Linked DNA regions of Callithrix jacchus. The protein of the gene in region 2 purifies or fractionates together with the protein of the main gene of each other region. This does not show direct contact. Links are inferred from orthologs where the notes say so. Each region holds a gene or a part of one and is shown on either strand. Other genes may lie near its edges.

What was found.
Region 1: the proteins of SMURF2 (region 2) and TGFBR1 purify together in Homo sapiens (affinity purification with western blotting; 8 studies listed by BioGRID). This does not show direct contact. The link is inferred for Callithrix jacchus from reciprocal best matches to the Homo sapiens genes SMURF2 and TGFBR1.
Region 3: the proteins of SMURF2 (region 2) and SMAD4 purify together in Homo sapiens (affinity purification with western blotting; 3 studies listed by BioGRID). This does not show direct contact. The link is inferred for Callithrix jacchus from reciprocal best matches to the Homo sapiens genes SMURF2 and SMAD4.

What each region holds. Positions count from the first base shown.
Region 1 is NC_133502.1:147,221,003-147,227,538, reverse strand, and holds the start of TGFBR1 (TGF-beta receptor type-1), read right to left. Parts: upstream 3,692-6,536; 5' UTR 3,604-3,691; coding exon 3,507-3,603; intron 1-3,506. UniProt on the Homo sapiens protein: Transmembrane serine/threonine kinase forming with the TGF-beta type II serine/threonine kinase receptor, TGFBR2, the non-promiscuous receptor for the TGF-beta cytokines TGFB1, TGFB2 and TGFB3.
Region 2 is NC_133506.1:89,930,509-89,937,308, forward strand, and holds the start of SMURF2 (E3 ubiquitin-protein ligase SMURF2), read right to left. Parts: upstream 3,951-6,800; 5' UTR 3,516-3,950; coding exon 3,464-3,515; intron 1-3,463. UniProt on the Homo sapiens protein: E3 ubiquitin-protein ligase which accepts ubiquitin from an E2 ubiquitin-conjugating enzyme in the form of a thioester and then directly transfers the ubiquitin to targeted substrates.
Region 3 is NC_133514.1:94,273,811-94,279,886, forward strand, and holds part of SMAD4 (mothers against decapentaplegic homolog 4), read left to right. Parts: intron 1-1,829; 5' UTR 1,830-1,954; coding exon 1,955-2,203; intron 2,204-3,566; coding exon 3,567-3,741; intron 3,742-4,174; coding exon 4,175-4,204; intron 4,205-6,076. UniProt on the Homo sapiens protein: In muscle physiology, plays a central role in the balance between atrophy and hypertrophy. When recruited by MSTN, promotes atrophy response via phosphorylated SMAD2/4.

The DNA.
Region 1 (6,536 bases), on a different chromosome or scaffold from region 2:
AGCCTTTAGGATTGGGGGGAAAAATGATAGAGGTTAATACATCCAAATCCCACAGTAAAGAATAAGGAACCTAACTTTGAAGAGTAACTTGCCAGTCAGTAAAAGCTTTGTTTCCTCCCTTGGAGTGGGGGCCCCAGTACAGTTGGAGACACACTTTTAGAGAACTTTCATACTCATCAAATCCCCCTCTGAATTGTACCCACCCTTCAAAGTCAGCTTAAGTCCTAAACTGTCCAGAAAGCCTCCCCCAATCACTCCAGCCTACACTAATCATCTCCCTTTTTGAATACTAATGCCTCCCTACAGGGATGACATTAAAAATATTTAACAACTGGCACTACAAGGGTACCAACCAACCAGAAAGGATGTTTAACCAAAAAACACATGGCCCAGTGGGAACTGCTTGTTGAATATCAGTCCTGATCATTAGTAACAATACAGAATAGCAACCTCAAACTCAAATACCACTTTCTCATGTGATCTTCACAATCTCATGAATTAGGCAAAAGCAGGTATTGCCCCTATTTTCTGCATAACTGGTGGTGAAGGTGGGACTAATAACCACTTGCCTTCACCACACCACACAATATTTCCTGATTATTTATACAGAATTATAAGTTAATATTGCATAAACTGGACTTAGATAAAACAGTATAAATACTAAAGGAATGCTCAAATAGAAATCAACAAGCATCTATGTGGAATAGAATATAAAACACAGTGCTAAGTTCTGAGGCCATAAAGCAAAGAAATGGCATGAATCTCGTCCTCTAGGTATCTACAACATATTCAAGTGTAGTTAAATTGCAGTGCAGACAGTAGAAATGGACAACACAAACTGTAAGTGTTGCAGAGTTCTGGAAGACAAAGAATTCAAGAACTAAACCAGTACAGGAAGTCAGGACTGAGAACTTCTTACACTCCCAAAAAAGGGGCAAAATTAAATGTGTAGTGAAAAGCTGAACAGTCAGGAGTCAGTGAGAAATAGAAATTGCTTGAAGGTCTGCAGTAATGAGAAGTGAGATTCCTGGTAGGATACTCAGAGATGGCCCCAATCATAAGCTGCTGAAGTGTTTCTCTAAGTGCTGAATACAAATGGGAAATCATATAAACCTTTATGGGGATGGCTGAGGAAGATTAGTTTGGCAGTAGCCCATAGAAAAGCTTAGAAGAGAGAAACATGGGAAAGCAACTAGATTTGGAGGATAACAGGCAGGATTAAGCTGAAGGCTGCATACCAAGAAAGGAGGAGACATTCAAGAGGCATTAATAGAAACAAGAGTTGGATTTAGAGCATGTTTCCAAAGAAAAAATGTTATGAAATGGCAGAAAGGAAGCAAACAGCATTCTCACAAGGGATATTCATATAGACACAGTGGTACTAAACCGTGTACTAGCGACAAGGAATCAATTTTCCTAGAGAAATCTATGTTGGGGAGAGAAGTTGGGCAGAGAACAATAAAACATACTCAGAAAATAAGAAACTGCACTCTTTTTAAAAGGGAAGTAAAATTACAGAGAGAAAAAAAAGCATTTGACCTTTTTCAGAATGTTATTTTAAGGGTGGACTGAGACATCATCATAACCAATAAGAAAGGCAGAGAAGCTGAGGCAGTCTGGGCTTAGAGTAATATGCACCTGGACAGCTTTGTACTGTGTACATGCCACAGAGACTGTAAACTCCCCCAGGACATGGACTGAGCAATGTTCTGTGTATCCAACTAAGTCCACCTACTGTTACTTGAATACATGAACACTTCCTGTGCTACTTCTGGTGGAAAAGAGGGCACTATGTTATTCAAGTTAATAGTGGTGTGGAAATGTTACCTATGTTTCCCCCTAACTATATTGATTCTCCCAATCTGTCCACACAGTTATCTTGCCTTCCTCCCTAGGCCAATGTCAAAAATCCATTGTTTCCTCTAATGCAGGCCCACGTGAAGGGACTCAGGAATGTGCTAAGAGTCAGAATGAAGCCTATCTGACATTCATATCATGAGGACAGAATCTAAAAGTGAATAATAAAGACCAGTTGCTCATCAGATGAAGAAAAATGGGCTATGCCAGGTAGTATGATGTATACATGTTTGCGTGTGTATATACATATTTATATATATATGTGTGTACAGGTTTTGGAAACTGAGATCTGAGTGAAAATTCTAGCTTTAGCACTTAGTGACTGCATACTTAAGCAGACCCAGGGGTCTGCACCCCACTTTTCAAATCTTTAAAGTGGGGCAAATGCCACAAGTCCTGAGAGTTTGGTTGTGGTGATTAAATAATGTACGTATCCAATAGTGTACTTTATGCATTTACATCATAGTAATGCATAATACATAGACGGAGGCTATTAGGACTAATTATAATCATCATCTTCAGTCTTGATTTTTAAAAGAATTTTCAACATTTTTGTACAGTTTCAGAAACAGAAATGTAATTTCACTGCATTTTAGTTGCTAAGACTGAGGCTCTGATTTTAGTTTCTACTGTCTTAATTCAGCTGCTAACAAAGTTTTCCACTCATCACTTTGTGGATGCCAACCACCTACCCCGACCTGATTTAATACTTGGAAAAACTCAGCGAACATTCTTCCTTGAAAACCAGCTACCAGATGTATCATTCAAACTATTAACTGTCACTCAAGAAAAGGAACATCGCAAGTGATGTTCCTTCTAGGAAATAAAAGCGTTGAATCAATTCACAGTCATTCCCCAAATTTCCAAACCCTGTAGAGTGAGCAAACGTTCAAGTTTCCACTACGAAAACAATCCGTAGCCTTCTGGTTACTGGACTCACTTCAACACTCCTCAGGCGCACGAAAGAAGGAATACTCCGCGCATCTCCACGCTTCCTTCTTCTCACACAAAGCCCCCTTGGCTGAAGGAGCAGACCCTTCCAGCAGGGTCGGGCCGGGCGGGAGTCAGGGCAGCTTGCAGACCCGGGGGTCTCACCACATGTCGACCCCCGACTCCCACCCCGGGAAGCCCTCGCGGCTCGGAGCTCACACCCCGCCCGGGAGCCGCCTTCCCCCCAACCCCAAAACCCGCCCGGGACCCCAAGACCACGCCGTTCCCTGGGGGGCGGCGGCGGTCGGCAGCCACCGCTCTGCCAGTCCCCGCCCGTCTCGCATCCTCCGCCCCTGGCCCTAACCCACGCACACCCCACAGGGCAGCCCCGGCCCTCGGACGACTCCGTCCGACTCCACCTCCCCGGGGGAGTCCCGAGCCGGACGGCCTCAGGCTGCCCGGCACGTTCACCCGTGCCCGGACACACGCCCCTGCCCCGCCTCCGCTCCCCGCTTGCGGTTCGCCCGGCTGCCACCGAGCCGCTCGGGGCCACGAGAGCCCGGTTGGGGCCACGAGAGCCCGGTCCGGGCCCCGGCGCTGCCACCTGCGCCCCCGGCCCCGCGCCATGTTTGAGAAAGAGCAGTAGCGAGCCGGAGGCCGGGCCCGGCCCGCGCGCCCCGCAGTCGCCCGCCCGCCCGCCGCGCCGCGCTGCCGCTCACCCGTCGCCCCCGGGAGCAGCAGCGCCGCCGCCGCCGCTGCCGCCGCCAGCACAAGGAGGAGCAGTCGGGGACGCGGAGCAGCGGCCGCCGCCTCCATGGTCCCGCCGCCACCGCCTGTGGCCCGGCCCGGCCCGGCCGCCGCCTCACCCCAGCAAACCTCGCCTCGCCCCACCTCCCCCGCCGCCGCGGCGGCCCCGCTTCGGCCCTTTGTAACTGCTCGGGGGACGTGCGTCCATTGGCTGCCGGGCTCCCGCCGGCCCCGCCTCCCCGCCGCCGCGAGCGGCCGAGCGGGACCCAGCCACGAGCCCCGCCCGCGGGCCCACCGGGCAGCCAATCCGGAGCCGCGCGCCCCGGCCTCTGGCCACGCCCCACGCTCCCCGGGGGACGGGCCGCCAGACCCCTGCCCCGGCCAGAGCTGCTCCCGGCTCCGCGAGGCGGTGTGGGGGCGGGATCGGCCAGACCCAGCGCCGCCGAGCCGCTAGCCCCGGAGGGCCGGGTAGAGCGAAGGGTGTGTCTGTGTGAGTCGCTTTCGGGAAAAGGCTGTGGCCGCTCGACTCTCTTTTCTTCTAACCTCCTCTAGGCGCGGAAGATCTCGTACTGCTTCAGCCCCACGCTGACCCCATTCACTGCTCCGCACCGGCAATCCCTGCATAGGCCACTCAGATCCGCTGCAGCGCCAGGCCCTGCATGCACTTCAACTTCCCCTCTCCAAGTCCACGCATCAACTTCAGCATTCCCCCGAAGATCTTTCCTCCGCGCCCTTCACATGCGACTCAGTCTCCTGTTTCCTCATGCTTGGAGCGGTCATCCCGAACCTAGCTCCCCCACCCAATTCCAAACCTAGGAAGTCCTCAGATCCCAGCCTCAGACCCAGATCCTGACCCCAAACACACCCCCAAATAGCCTCCCGCCTCACTCCGGAACAGGCACAGGATGGGGATCCAAGCCGCTCTCGCCTCATCCCCCTTCCTGATCCAGGTTGGAAAGGGAGGGTCCCCACCCCAACCCCTCAAAGGAGGGGTTCCCCCTTCTTAGAACCCAGCTCCCGCGGGGTGGAGGGGGAGCAGTCATTACTTTGAGCTGTGTCTGACACTCCTGTATAATAATCCTGAGGTGTCACTAAAAACCCAAATAAACTACGTTTTCATTCCGAATTCCTAATTTACTGCGAGACGCTCCACCCACCTTTCCTCCGCGACGCCAAAATGAGCTCCAGATTTGTAATTCTTCCTGTCAGACTAGTCCTTTCTTCAGACACAAACACAGCCAAGGAGGCTGTTACGTAGAACAGAGAATATTTTCCCTCAGAACCTTTTAAGGAGAAAGTTTTATTTCCTGTGTCATTTGAGCTTGGAATTAAATAAACCTTGATAGCAGGAATCAGAACCAGCCTCTAATGTCAACTTGTGCACTACTTCAGAGTCACTGGGTGAGCATTTTCCCCACCTGTGAAGGTTTCCTTCCTGGAGATGAAAAGGGAAAGGACGTGGATATTGGAGCTGGGATCTGAGACCTGCGTGCTTTCTCCCTCCTGGCTGGGACACTACTTCGGCAAAGTCAGCTAACCTTTCAGAGTCTCCAGCAGGCTCAGAGGCCTGCAACTTGCTCTAGACTGCAGCGCCAGCAGCCTCAGCAGCGAACTCCCCTCTTGTTCAGACTGAAGGATTCCAGAAAGACGGTTTCTGGCAGGCTCCAGTCCCAATTTGCCCTCTCGGTTCCAGTTTCTTCAATGGAGACTTGGTGGGCTTTGTGCCAAGAGGTCTCTAGATTGCCTTTTTGCTGCTCTATTTGCAATGTCTTGCATAAGATAAGAGCTAATGAGATTTTGATTGTGTGAATGAATGAATGATCTCAAAGTGACTGTTTTTCTTTGGCCTTTAGCTTCCTCATCTCTAAAATGTAAATAATAATAGTACCTACCCCGTTTATAAATGAAAGGGATTGAATCACTTGTCTTGGGCTCCTTAGATGATGTAATGTGTCTGGTACAGTGTCTGGAACATAGTAAATATTTAGTTAATGCCATTTCTTTGCCCATCCCCTTCCAGCTCCGTATGATTCTAATCAGCATGTGTGTTCATGTTAGTCTGTGCCCTTGACGTACAGAGCCTAGATTAATCAGTGTTAATCACACCTCCAGTTCCTTAACATTTTCCATGGAATTGAGTAGATTCAACAGAAAGGAAAAACAGACCGGTTTTTAAATTTTAACATCCTGATACTAGGAGGAAATTTCCATGAACAACAGATCCATAAATAAACTACACTAGAATGGAACACTAAATTAATAGTTTAAAATCATGGTTCCCAAATTGTAAAGTGTCTCCAAATTACCTGGAGAGCTTTTAATAATGCAGATTCTTGGGTCTCACTGGGTCTTAGCAATTCTGCTTCAGTTCTTCTGGAGAAGGTTCAGGAATCTGCATTTGTAATAGACATCATAGTTAATTCTGTTGCAGGTGGCACTAGGCCAGCTTCAAAAGACTGGTATACTTAAAATTCAGTAAATAAAAATGCATGACCTTATTTGCCTTTTGAGAAAGGTTGGATGGGCAGTGGAAAGAAGCCGCTGGCTTTGGAGGCCTGCAGACCCTACTTGAAATTCTGGCTCTGCCACTCAGTAGCTGTGGGTCTGTGAACACTATTTGATCACTCTTGAGATTTAGCATCTCCAGGGTAAAGGGAGATATTGTTGTGAGGTCTAAATGAGCTATTGCACATAAGGAATCTATCATAAGTGTTAATTCCTTTCAGTCTTTACAGACTTACTTGTTGTTTAAAAGGCTTCCCTGTTATCTACTACAATGTCTTGATTATCTTGATTTAAAGATGGAGAAACTTAGATCAGTTCCCCAGCAAGTCAGCTGCAGAGCTAGTACTAGGAGTCTCACTCCAGTGCCTTGTACCCTATGTAATGTTGTCTCTTAATCTTTATGCCAAGGACATTGTTTGCATTTCCTTTTGGATTATTCTCTTATGTAAGATGTTTTTGCCAAAATAGACAGCAGAGACTGCTAGTCATCTAAACTA
Region 2 (6,800 bases):
TTCTACTACTCCATAGGTAAGAATTTAAAATATTAGAAATTACAACAAACTGCTTTTTCTAGCCTTTGGTTTTCAAAAAAAAATGGGCCAGGCACAGTGGCTCATACCTGTAATCCCAGCACTTTGGGAGGCCATGGCGGGTGGATCACAAGGTCAAGAGATCGAGACTATCCTGGCCAACATGGTGAAACCCTGTCTCTACTAAAAATACAAAAATTAGCTGGGTGTGGTGGTGCGAGCCTGTTCTCCCAACTACTCGAGAGGCTGAGGCAGGAGAATTGCTTGAACCCAGGAGGCAGAGGTTGCAGTGAGCTGAGATTGCACCACTGCAATGGAGAGAGACTGTCTCAAAAAAAAAAAAAGTATAAAAAATTACCCCAAAGTTTTTACTGTAAAGAATATTTTTCTATACAATCCATTGTAAAAGCCTGTATCAGATAATCATATAATGATACAGAAATTATACATTTTGTAATCAATTTGTTCTAGAAATATTAGTTGAAGTAGATAGTGTTATCATACAGCCCATTTTAATGATCATATGTTAATGTGTCATAAAGAACACATTATACTTGATGGATGAAATCAGATTCTAACTCCCAATTCCCTGAGGAATCTAAAATTTGGGATTTAATTATTAAATTAGCCCCACCTTCTTAGCATTGACAAATACCAAACTGTTCACTGATTGTGGTTTTAAGAATAACGTGGAAAGGTCTAATACCAATTGTGGGCAGAGATCTCATAGTTCAAATATTTCCTCTTCTTTAGAAAAAGAGTGTGTGTACGGGTGTGTGTGTGTGTCTCTGTGTGTGCACGCGTGCATGAGTGTGGGTGGGTGTGTGTCACCATGTAAGAAATGTTTTATACCTTTCAGTAAAGGGGCAATTCCACAATAAGGTTATTACCAAGTAACTAAAGTTTATACAGCATCTTGAAATCAAAGTTACTCTATAAATTTAAAATACTAATATTAAAGCAAAGAATAATAATTTTAAAACATCTTATAGCTCAAGCATATTATAAACCAAATAAAAATTCACTGAGGGAGCTGTCTTTTAAGTGATTTTTTTTTCCTCTATTAGGGAACCCAGATCTAAATGAACTGCTAAACACTTAGGCTAAAGGTATGCCAAACATTTCTTAAGGTCTTAACAAAGAATCAACCTTCTTTTTTTTTTTTAAACAAAATGAGGCCTAGGTTAAATATTTTATTTGGCTTCTCAAGATGGATTGAGAAGTTGGGCACCAGCTCCAGACCAATTCCTGGACGCACATCAAACACAGTCCTGTCATTTATCCAGTCAGTCAAAACAATCTTTTCCATCTAACCCTTTAATGTTTATGTCCTAAAAAGCTGCTAATTGAATCCAGCTCTTGAGATCTATTTGCTAAAATCTATACCATCTAATTTGTAAATGCTGAACAAAAATGAAAAAAAAAGTTAACTTTCCTAGCAAAACAGAAGAGACTCCACTGTAACCAAAGAAGGAAGGACAATGTTTTTAATATTTGTCAAATTTTAAGAGAAAACTATTCAGAGACAAATAGTTGTAAGAAACTCAGAGCACCTCAAACTGCTTTTACTATTAAGAGGACACAGCGAATTTAAAATTCCTCAGAAAAACCTGAAACAAAATCACTCTCTAAATGTACTTCACTATTTATTCCTTCTTCCCCTGAAATATAAGCATAATCTTTCCTCTTAGCAAACTTCACTTATAAATTTTTATAATGTATCTTAGGCAGTGGGGAAACCACAGATAAACACTTTAAGATCTATTGAGTCATATTAAAAACCTCAACTCATCTATCTGCAGAAAATCAAAATCCCTATTTTTTTCCCCTAGTTTTCTCTACATAGCCTAGAGAGAAGTAAATGGCAACAGCCTATTTCTGACGTTTTCTGCATACCTGGGATCACATGTTCTTTCCACGATCATTGACGCCAGATAGCAACAGCAAGAGATAAAACTCTAAAGCAACAAAGATCCCCCTAAAGGTTTCCACTGACTCCTACCAATATAAGGACATTGAATGCGGGCGGGTAGGGGGAATCCAAGTATCTTCCAATCCAGGTTTTCCATTAAGAACCACTTGGTTAATGATTCCCTGCCAATTTTCTCCAGGGAAAGCAAAACTGTCTTGAAGGTAAAATATTATTTAAATTACAGCCAACATACATTCAAGCTAAATTCTCAAATACCAAATTCACTGCAAGTTTTCATCTAGCAAGTCCAGCCTGCGGACTGGGATGACACATAGAAGCATTCAACTACAAAATTAGTTCAAATAAATCTCAAAGTCTAGTGTGGGCAAACATAATTACAGTTTATTCGTACACGTGCACGCACACACAAATCCTCTACGGAAAATTATCTTTCTCGCCACTCATCTGAATATAAACGTAAACAATTTATCAGGAGTAAATGGTGAAGGAAGGATAACGCCATGATCTCAATTACTTTTCAAACCAAATACAAGTTTTCCTAAAATGGGGGTGGCATGTCCATGTAAGAATACCAAAAATGGTACTGTAAGCAAAACGTACCTGTAATGTTAAAGATTTCATGCACCTGAAATTATAAACACTTTGTAAGTGTAGTACCCCTCCGGACATTCCTTTCCATTTAGAAAAAAAGGGGGAGGGTGTGGAGAGTAAGAACAAGTTCGCTCTAAAGTTTGTATGAGCACACACTTAGAAATGTATCCTCTCCCCCGCCCCCCAAAAAACCGTGTTTTTAAAGCAGGTCTGGAGTTAAAAGTGGGACACAAGTTCTGCGGCCTACAAGGAACAACCCCAAACATGCCACCTACAATCCAGACACTTCCAAAACACAATGTACAATGAGCCCGAGCCATCGGATCAGACTGGCACACCGGAAAAGTCAACCTCAGTCTCCTCTCCTCAGAGAGAAGTGAGTTGAAGGTGTGTGGCCCCAGCAGCGGTGGCCGGCGGCGGGGAGTAAAGGTTTTGCACGCGGGCATAAGTGGGTGTGCAAGTTAACCCGGGAACACACACGCACACCCTCCCGTTAAGCGTTCCGTCTTTACGGAGTGTTTACTACGCGCAGTCAGCAACCGGATTCAATAATCCTCGCCACCGGAGCTCTTCATCCCCTTCAAGAGCCCACCTGGGCGGCAGCCCACGAGCCCCGGGAAGCAGCGTCCCGCTCCTCGACCAAGACCTTTCGACCTAAAATCCTCCTGCGACGCGAACCGGTGTATCCCCCTTCCACAAAAGACCACCCCCCCGCCACCCCGAGTCATCCTCGGCTTTTTACAGAATGTCCAAACCGGAGCAAGTGGTTTTCCTATTACTCTCCCTGAACTAGGCCTTCCCACTCCTCCGACCCCCAACTCACCATTGATCGCGACCCTGGCCCTTCCCAAGGCCACAGGCACCCCCCGCCAGCTCGCCCACCCCGCCGCTGCCCGACCCGGCCCGCCGCCCCCCCCTCACCTGTCAGGCGCAGCTTGACGGGCCCGTTCCTCCGGCCTCCGGGGTTAGACATGTCCCCGGCGGCGGGGGCGAAGGGGCGGCGGGCGGGACAGGGACCAGGGACGGGGCGACGGCGAGACGCGGCGGAGTCACAACAGCGGCCGGGGCTGGGGCCCGAGCAGCCGGCGCCGCGGCCGCCGCGGCCGGAGGGTCCCGGATGTGCCGAGCGTCGTCGCCATGAGCCGCGGAGGGAGCGGGACGCCGAGCTCCCCCCTCCTCCCACTTCTTCCTCGGCCCGGGCCGCACAACAAAGCGGCAGCCGCGGCAGCCCGCGCCGCCTCTGCCTGCACCCCCGCCGCCTCCGCACGGCCGCCGCGGCCTTTCACTCCTCTTGTCTAGGCGAGGCCCAGTAGACGACGGGGCTGGTCGGCTAAGGCGGGCGGTGCTCCGCGGCGCCGGAGCAGGACTTTGGGCTCGGCCGCTTCCTCCTCCACCCGCCCTCTTGTCTGAGGGACCCGGGACCTGAGGCCGCCGCCGCCACTCGTCGGCTCCGGGGGGCGGGGAGGAGACGAGAGGCGGGGCTGGCGGGGCGGAGCAGGGCCGGGGCGGGACCGGCGGGCGCGCGCAGGGTGCCCGGGGCGCGGGGAGGGCGGGGCGAGCTCGGCTCAGACCCCAGCCGTCTGGGAGGTCGTGTGCTGCTGCCGAGGGTCCCACGCGGAACGCGGGGAGGGAGCGGGCAGGGAGCAAAGTGACGCGGGGGCGGCAGGTCTGTGGCACCTGGAGGGACTTGGTGTCCGGTCCTTTTCGGGAGAGCTTTTGTCCAAGCACGGCCGACTGTGCGCGGGGCGCTCGGAGAGGCTGGGGCGAGCAAATTTAGAACCGAGTCCGCTGCCCGCCGGGAACTTGGAGTCTTCCGGGCAAGGGAAGAGACTGCATTCCCACGCCAAGGGTTCCAGCAAAGCCCCAGGTGTGCTCTGCTCCTGATCTTGTAGTTGACGCCTCCATCCGGGACTCACCTGGTGGAGGAGATCGGGTTACCTGCCGACTCTGGCTCTTTTCAGGTGCAGCCAAGGATAGGGAGATGATATTGACGTCTTAAAGGATTAACAAGATAAACCGCTCAAGCCTGTAATCCCAGCACTTTGGGAGGCCGAGGCGGGTGGATCACGAGGTCAAGAGATCGAGACCATATCCTGGTCAACATGGTGAAACCCCGTCTCTACTAAAAATACAAAAAATTAGCTGGGCACGGTGGCGCGTGCCTGTAATCCCAGCTACTCAGGAGGCTGAAGCAGGAGAATTGCCTGAACCCAGGAGGCGGAGGTTGCGGTGAGCCGAGATCGCGCCATTGCACTACAGCCTGGGTGAACAGAGCGAAACTCCGTCTCAAAAAAAAAAAAAAAAACAAGATAAACCTTGGAGAGTAATGTATGAAGAGTTGTTCATACACTATTCTATGTCGTTATCTCAGGAGGAAAAGTTTTTTTTAAATGTGTACCTTATCCTTTGACCTTGTAACTGTACTGCTAGGATTTTTTTTTCAGACAGGGCCTCCCTCTGTCGCCCAGACTGGAGTGCCTTGGTGCGATTATGGCTCACTGAAGTCTCGGCTTCCCGGGCTCAAGTGATCCTCCCACCTGAGCCTCTGGGATCACAAGTGTGCGCCACGACGCTCCACTAATTTTTTTGTTTTGTTTCTTGAAGTCTCTGTCACCGAAGCTGGAGTGCAGTGACGCGATCTCGGCTCACTGCAACCTCAGCCTCCGGGGTTCAAGAGATTCTCCTGCCTCTGCCTCCCAAGTAGCTGGGACCACAGGCACACACCACCATGCCTTGCTAATTTTTTGTATTTTTTAGTTGGGAGGGGGTTTCACTATGTTGGCCACGCTGGTCCCGAACTCCTGATTTCAAGCAATTCGCCCGACTCGGCCTCCCAGAGTGCTAGGATTACAGACGTGAACCCCCGTGCCCGTACCTTTTCTTGACAAATAATAGTACGGAAGATGTTCTTTGCTAAATTCCATTAATAACAAAAGTGGAATGAGGGAACAGCATAATGCTCCATGAACTGCATGGTTTTTATGCAGCCATTGAACTGACAATTTTTATGAAGATCACACAATATGGAAGAATTTATATGTAACGCAAACTTTAAAAATAGAACAAAAGTTGTATGTGTATACATGCAGAAGTATCTAGCACAATGTAAACTACTAAGGACAACAGTGTGAGGGATTTTTAATGTGATTTATTTTGCTTTAGGCTGTTATAACATTAATGTAATTTTAAATGTTTTGGATTAATCCTTATTCCATGCCAGTCGCTGCTTTTAATGCATCAGTGAAGTTGCTTCTCCAGATAGTTACCTCTGAGAGCATTTCATCAGTTTGGATACAACCCTACAATTAAAGTAATCCAAAAAAAGCATATGAAGTTCTAGACATCACACTAAAAATATCAGAGATAGGCCAGGCACAGTGGCTCATGCCTGTAATCCCAGCACTTTGGGAGGCTAAGGGAGGCAGATCATTTAAGATCAAGAGTTTGAGACCAGCCTGGCCAAAATAGTGAAACCGCCATCTCTATGGGAAAATAAAAGGCTGGGCATGGTGGCTCACACCCGTAATCCCAGCATTTTGGGAGGCAGAGGTGGGCACATCATCTGAGGTCGGGAGTGTGAGACCAACCTGATCAACAGGGAGAAACCCCATCTCTATTAAAAATACAAAATTAGCTGGGTGTGGTCGCACATGCCTGTAATCCCAGCTACTCAGGAGGCTAAGGCAGGAGAATCGCTTGAACCTGGGAGGCAGAGGTTACAGTGAGCCAAGATTGCACCACTGTACACCAGCCTGGGCAACAAAGCAAAACTCCATCTCAAAAAAAAAAAAAAAAAAAAAATTAGCCAGGCATGATGGTGGATGCCTGTAGTCCCAACTACTAGGGAAGCTGAGGCACGAGAATTGCTTGAATCCGGGAGGTTGCGGTGAGCTGAGATCACACCACTGCACTTCAGCCTGGGCCACAGAGCAAGGCTTCATGTCAAAAATAAATACACAGATTTAAAAAAATAAAAATCCCAGAGATAGTGCCAGCAATTCATTTAACAAATATTAATGGGCTATTTTGTCCAAAGCAATGAACAAGGTCCTTTAGAAATGCTTCCTTGTACTACAAATATATATGAATCAGTGTGAACATAGCTGCTACCACAATTTTAAGAGGCCAGACAGTGGCAAAAAAAATTAGCAAACTGATGTACATATTCACATTTACCTTATTTTTATGTCACACGCTTTGTTCCAACCACCCAACTAACATAATTTGTAGCTTTGTATTAGGTAATAGAAGTTAGGAT
Region 3 (6,076 bases), on a different chromosome or scaffold from region 2:
ACAGTGGCAGGGAGAATGGAAGGAGAAATAGAAATGACTGAGGTAAAGAATCTTCTAACTGTGAGGGGATGAATGTAGGGATAGTGAAAGAAAGAGGCAGATCAAAGATCTCTTTTTTGCTAAGCTTTCCGAGACTGGGTAATTGAGTGTAATTGATACTTTAACAATAAAGGTCTTCAGAAGAGGAAGAGATTTTGGTAGAATGATCAGTTTTATTAATCTTGTGGGAGGGTTTAAGGATTCAATTATACAGCAAAAGAAAATGAAAACAAAATAAATCTGGAATGCAACTTCAGTGAACAAATAAAATACAACCTAGCACATAAAGTACAGGCTTCAGTCTTGCTTCATTTTCTTTGCTCTTAGGCTAATGGCCTTTTCCTATTCTGTGTGGAGTCTTGGGATCAGATAAGTTAGTTTAGTTTTCTACTTGTTGAATGGATTCTTTATTAATCTTCATTTATTTTATTTTATTTTTTTGAAAGTAATTTACCCTGTTGCTTTTACAAATCTTTTGAGGAATTTAGTGATCTCTTTAAAAAACAGCTGTATTGAGATATAATTCCCATACCATAAAATTCACTATTTCAAAGTGTACATTTCAGTAGTTTTTACTATAGTCAGTTGTGCAGACATCAGCATTATCAATTTTTAGGACTTTTTCATTATAACAAAGAAACATCATACTCTTTAGAAGTCATTTCTCATACCCCTTCCTGCCAGGCCCTGGCAACCACTGATTTACTTTCTATCTCTGTGAATTTGCCTATTTTGTATATTTCATATAAATGGGATTTTATAATGTGTGACCTTTGTGACTGACTTCTTTCACTTAGCATGTGTTTTTGAGGTTTATCCATGTTGTAACATGTATTAGTACTTTTATTTTTTATGGTTGAATAATATTTCATTGTGTGGAATTTTATTTGTACATTCATCAGTTGATGGACATTTGAGTTGTATCTATTATGAACAGTGTTGCAGTGAACATTCGTGTACAGGTTTGTGTGGACATAGGTTTTCATTTTTCTCAAGTAGAATTGTGAAGAGGGGAATTGCTGGGTCATATCGTAACTGTGTTTAACATTTTGTGTTAATACCAGCCTGTTTTCCAAAGTACCTGTGCCATTTGTAATACCAGCAGCAGTGAATGAGGGTCCAATTTCTCGCTTCTTCAATACTTATTATTGTCTCTTTGATTTACCCATCTCAGTAGGTATGAAGTGGTAGAGCTACTTGTGGTTTTGGTTTTCATTTTTATAATGACTAATGTTGAGCTTTCATGTGCTTATTGGCCATTATCTTTGGAGAAATGTCTTGTAGAATAAAAGAGATCCTTTTTTTATTGGTCTCTTTTAACAAAGGTCAGTGTTAACTGCTAGGTAGCATTTCATACCAGGCGATGGTAATTTTTCATAAATATTAGTAATAGACTTTTAGGTTTAGCTGATTGTTAATCAAGACTATTTTAAAGTGCTAATCCTCATAAGTAATCCTTTAAAAAAAGTCCTGGTAAGATTTCCCTTTAGGGTGACCAGTACAGTCAGCAAGACTCAATTGAGCGTCTCACTATTATAATGAGGAGACCTAATTTTAATATTTTTGGAATGTCAAAAACAGTGACATTTTGATTAATTTTATTTTTAAAAATTATTTTTGATGGTTAACATTTTATAAGAATTTTAAGTAATGTTCAACTCTGAGCATCAAATTTTAATTATGTGCGTTGAATCTCTGACTTAACCAGAACAATTTCATCTTTTTCCAAGTATATCTAAATCTACTTTGTGAAATATGTTCTGATGTGTGTCTTTTTTTTTCTTTTTTAGGTTATCTTGAATACATGTGCAACAGTTTTACTTGCAACGTTACCTGTTGTTTTATACTGCTTCCAAAAGATCAAAATTGTTCTGGAAATTGGAGACATTTGATTTAAAAGGAAAAACTTGAACAAATGGACAATATGTCTATTACGAATACACCAACTAGTAATGATGCCTGTCTGAGCATTGTGCATAGTTTGATGTGCCATAGACAAGGTGGAGAGAGTGAAACATTTGCAAAAAGAGCAATTGAAAGTTTGGTAAAGAAGCTGAAGGAAAAAAAAGATGAATTGGATTCTTTAATAACAGCCATAACTACAAATGGAGCTCATCCTAGTAAATGTGTTACCATACAGAGAACATTGGATGGGAGACTTCAGGTTAGTCTTATAAGAATTTTTCTATACCCTCTATGGTGGCAGGTTAAAAAACTTGCTAAATTTCCTTTCAAGCTTCTATAGGGTAATTTAATGCATGCTTCATCTCTTCAGATACTGTCATCCAGTACAAATATGCATTATGGGAATATGTGGAAGAATATGCAAAAGATAAAATTTTAAAGTTTTTTATGTTCTGACTCAGAAAAATGTTCAGTGGAGAAAATTTGGAAAATAAAAAGAAGAAAACCCACATTTTGCAGGAACTTCCGTTAGCCCTTTGGTATTCATTTTTGTAGTCTGTTGTTTTCTTTTTCTTTCTTTTTCCGAGGCAGAGTCTTACTCTGTCACCCAGGCTGGGATGCAGTGGTGCAGTCTTGGCTCACTGCAGCCTCCGCCTCCCAGGTTCAAGCAGTCCTTCTGCCTCAGCCTCCTAACTAGCTGGAACTACAGGTGAGTGCCACCATGCCCAGCTAATTTTTGTATTTTTAGTAGAGATGGGATTTCACTATGTTGGTCAGGCTGGTCTCAAACTCCTAACCTCAGGTGTTCCACCCACCTTGGCCTCCCAAAGTGCTGGGATTACAGGTGCAAGCCACTGTGCCCGGCCATGTTTTCTTTTTTGATATTGTATGTACATTTAAACAACTGGTGGATTATACTTAGTCCTTTTATAATTTAGAAATCTGGTATGTTTCACTGATATCAAATGTTTCATTGGTCACGTTTTTCATGTAGAACTTTGTAATACGTCTCCCTTGCTCAAGTAAATCTCATAGAAATTTTATGTCTTAGATTTTAAAGTTTTATTTCTAGACTTTAGTTTCTACAACACAGTCTTTTTGCATATTTATTTGTTTATTTTATTTTCTTTCTTTGAGACATGGTCTCAGTCTTGCCCATGCAGTGGTGCGAACATGGCTCACTACAGCCTTGACCTACTGGGCTTATTCAGTTCTCCTGCTTTAGCCTCCTGAGTAGCTACGACTACAGGCACACACCACCATGTCTGGTTGATTTTTTATTTTTTGTGGAAACAAGGTCTTGCCATGTTGTCCAGGTTGGTCTTGAATTCCTAGGTTCAAGAGATCCTCCCTTGGCCTCCCAAAGTACAGGTGTGAGCGACCAGGCCCACCCACTTTTTGCATTTTTAAAACCTGAGCACAGGCCTTGAAATTATACCAGCGTTTAAATTCTAGGTCTGAAGTATGACATGGCCAAGTTAGTTATTTTGAATTTTAGTGTTCTCGTTTATGAAATGGGGATTGTAATACTGACTTGGTAGGATTGTGAGGTTTAAATCAGAATATATGTAAAGTGTCTTGCATAATGTGACACACGAATAAATGGTTGTTTATTTTTCTAGGTGGCTGGCCGGAAAGGATTTCCTCATGTGATCTATGCCCGTCTCTGGAGGTGGCCTGATCTTCACAAAAATGAACTAAAACATGTTAAATATTGTCAGTATGCGTTTGACTTAAAATGTGATAGTGTCTGTGTGAATCCATATCACTATGAACGAGTTGTATCACCTGGAATTGGTAAGTAGACTTTTGCTTTTATCCTTAGAAACATAAAGGAAAAATGATGTCAGTAATGCTTTAATTTTTGTGAGTTAAATTATAAATTTCGAAGATAGCCCAGGATTTTAAATAAGGTTAAAGAATGAGATATTTTTAATATAAATATTTAAATTTGAACTCAGGAACAAACATTTTGACTACTAAAACCAAGTATTATCGTTGACATTTTGCCCATGTAAAACATTGTTTTTGAGAAATAAGATGGAAAGCATTATAAGTTTGAATACTTAGTGTATGTATTGTTAGTTAGCGTTTATGCTACTTCTGAATTGAAATGGTTCATGAACTTTTGTAATCTCTGGCTTAAATTTACATTCTCTGTTTTTAAATGGAAAATATTTTCATTGTAATGATTAATGTTTTATTTTTTTCCCCTCTTTAAACAATTAAGATCTCTCAGGATTAACACTGCAGAGTAATGGTAGGTAATCTGTTTCTTATCACATTCTCTTTCCTGTGTTTTATCCTCTCTGTTTTTTTGTTGACCTAGAATTAATTAGTTTGTGTGGGCGGCAGTAACCTTAACAAGAAAATAACTTACTGCTTTGGAAATTTAGATTGAGGGGGCGTGTCGGTGTTTAAAACTGGATTTAAATTGGCTATTTGCTCTTTGTATTTGAACTGCAATTTATGAGTTAAAGTACTGTAAAAAATATGATAAGGGAATGAACCAAAAACAAATACAAAGGCTGCTTTTCAAGTTAAGCACTGTTTTTGAAGAAAATCTCACAGAGTCAGTTTAAATGGATGTTAAGTTCCCAGAATGTTTGGTAATTTGGAATCACATATAACATATCCAGTAAAAATACCAGTATTCTAATGTTTCTTCATTTCAGTCTAATTTATTTTTATATAATGTTGAGAATGGTTTAAAATTGCACTCGTTTGTGTTTTTTCAGTCTTGTTACATTTTGAGTAAATAAATCAAGGCTACTTTAAAGCATATGCCCATCACAGCTTACCTTACTGAAAAAGTGTTTTAAGGTGAGAAAATGAAACACCAGTGGGGGTGTAGGTGTTTTTTAGTGTAATATTTGAGAATGGAGTTTTATTAAATCTTTAGGTCTGTTACTTAGAACTTACTAAAATTTCTGTCAGAACTAATTAATTTGCAGAGAAACTCTTATAAAGAACCACTGTGAGCCAGGTGCAGTGGTTCATGTCTGTAATCCCAGAACTTTGGGAGGCTGAGGCTGGTGGATCATGTGAGGTCAGGAGTTCAAAACCAGCGTGGCCAACATGGTGAAACGCTGTCTCTACTAAAAATATAAAAAATTAGTCAGGTGGGTGCCTGTAATCCCACCTACTCAGGAGACTGAGGCAAGTGAATCACTTGAACCCGGGAGTTGGAGGTTGCAGTGAGCTGAGATCATGCCATTGCCTGGGCAACAATAGCACAACTCCATCTCAAAAAAAAGGACCCAATGTCATATTAGAAAGGTGTGCTATTGTTCTGGAGGGAAATGAGTAGTAACTTGGGACCTTTTTTGTTTGCAGAATTTTAGAGATGGGTCAGAAATACTAGGTGACGTTAACCAAAATTTAGGAAGAGTTTGCAAGTCTTCTTGTTTTTATTTTCCATCTTTCTCCCATATCACTAATGGAGGAAGGAAGACTTAGTGCCTTGTGGTGCTTGTTAGTGATTAGTAGGTTTCTGAGAAGTGTGCATTTATTATTAGGAGCTGTTGTGGTGGTCTGGGAAGGGTTGCTTTAAGATTGGTTAAAGCTCTGCCTCTTTGCCATGCAGACATTGAAAATCATATAACTTCTTCTTCTTTTTTTTTTTTTTTTAAGTAAATACCCTTCATATCTTTTAAAGTGTTTTTTAAAGTAAACACACTTCATATCTTCATTTTCCATCCATGGTTTTGGAGAATTAAAACATTTGGCTCAGTAGGTATTAAAGATTGGGAGACTGCAATGATATGTCTATCTGAATCTCTCTATGGGGCTGTTTGTGAGGGGGTTCAAATTCTGAATGCTTATCACACACCTCCCCTATCCTGAAATTATTGATGCATTGTTATCAATGGGATTGCATGGGTCGATAGCCTTTCTTTAATGACTATAGAACTGTATTCAGCCTTGTAGAGCCCCCTAGTGGTGGTTTTGTAAAGGGTGTCTTCAGTGCCTTATTTCCTCAGAAAACAAGGGGTATTTCTCACAGCTCCTTCTAGATTTTAACAAAGGAATAATACAAGACCAGTTAACTAAAAAGTTAAGAAAATGGGACATTTCCTTCATTTTTGAGTTAAAGTCTTGTGGTAATCATTTACAGCCTGCCTTTTATCTT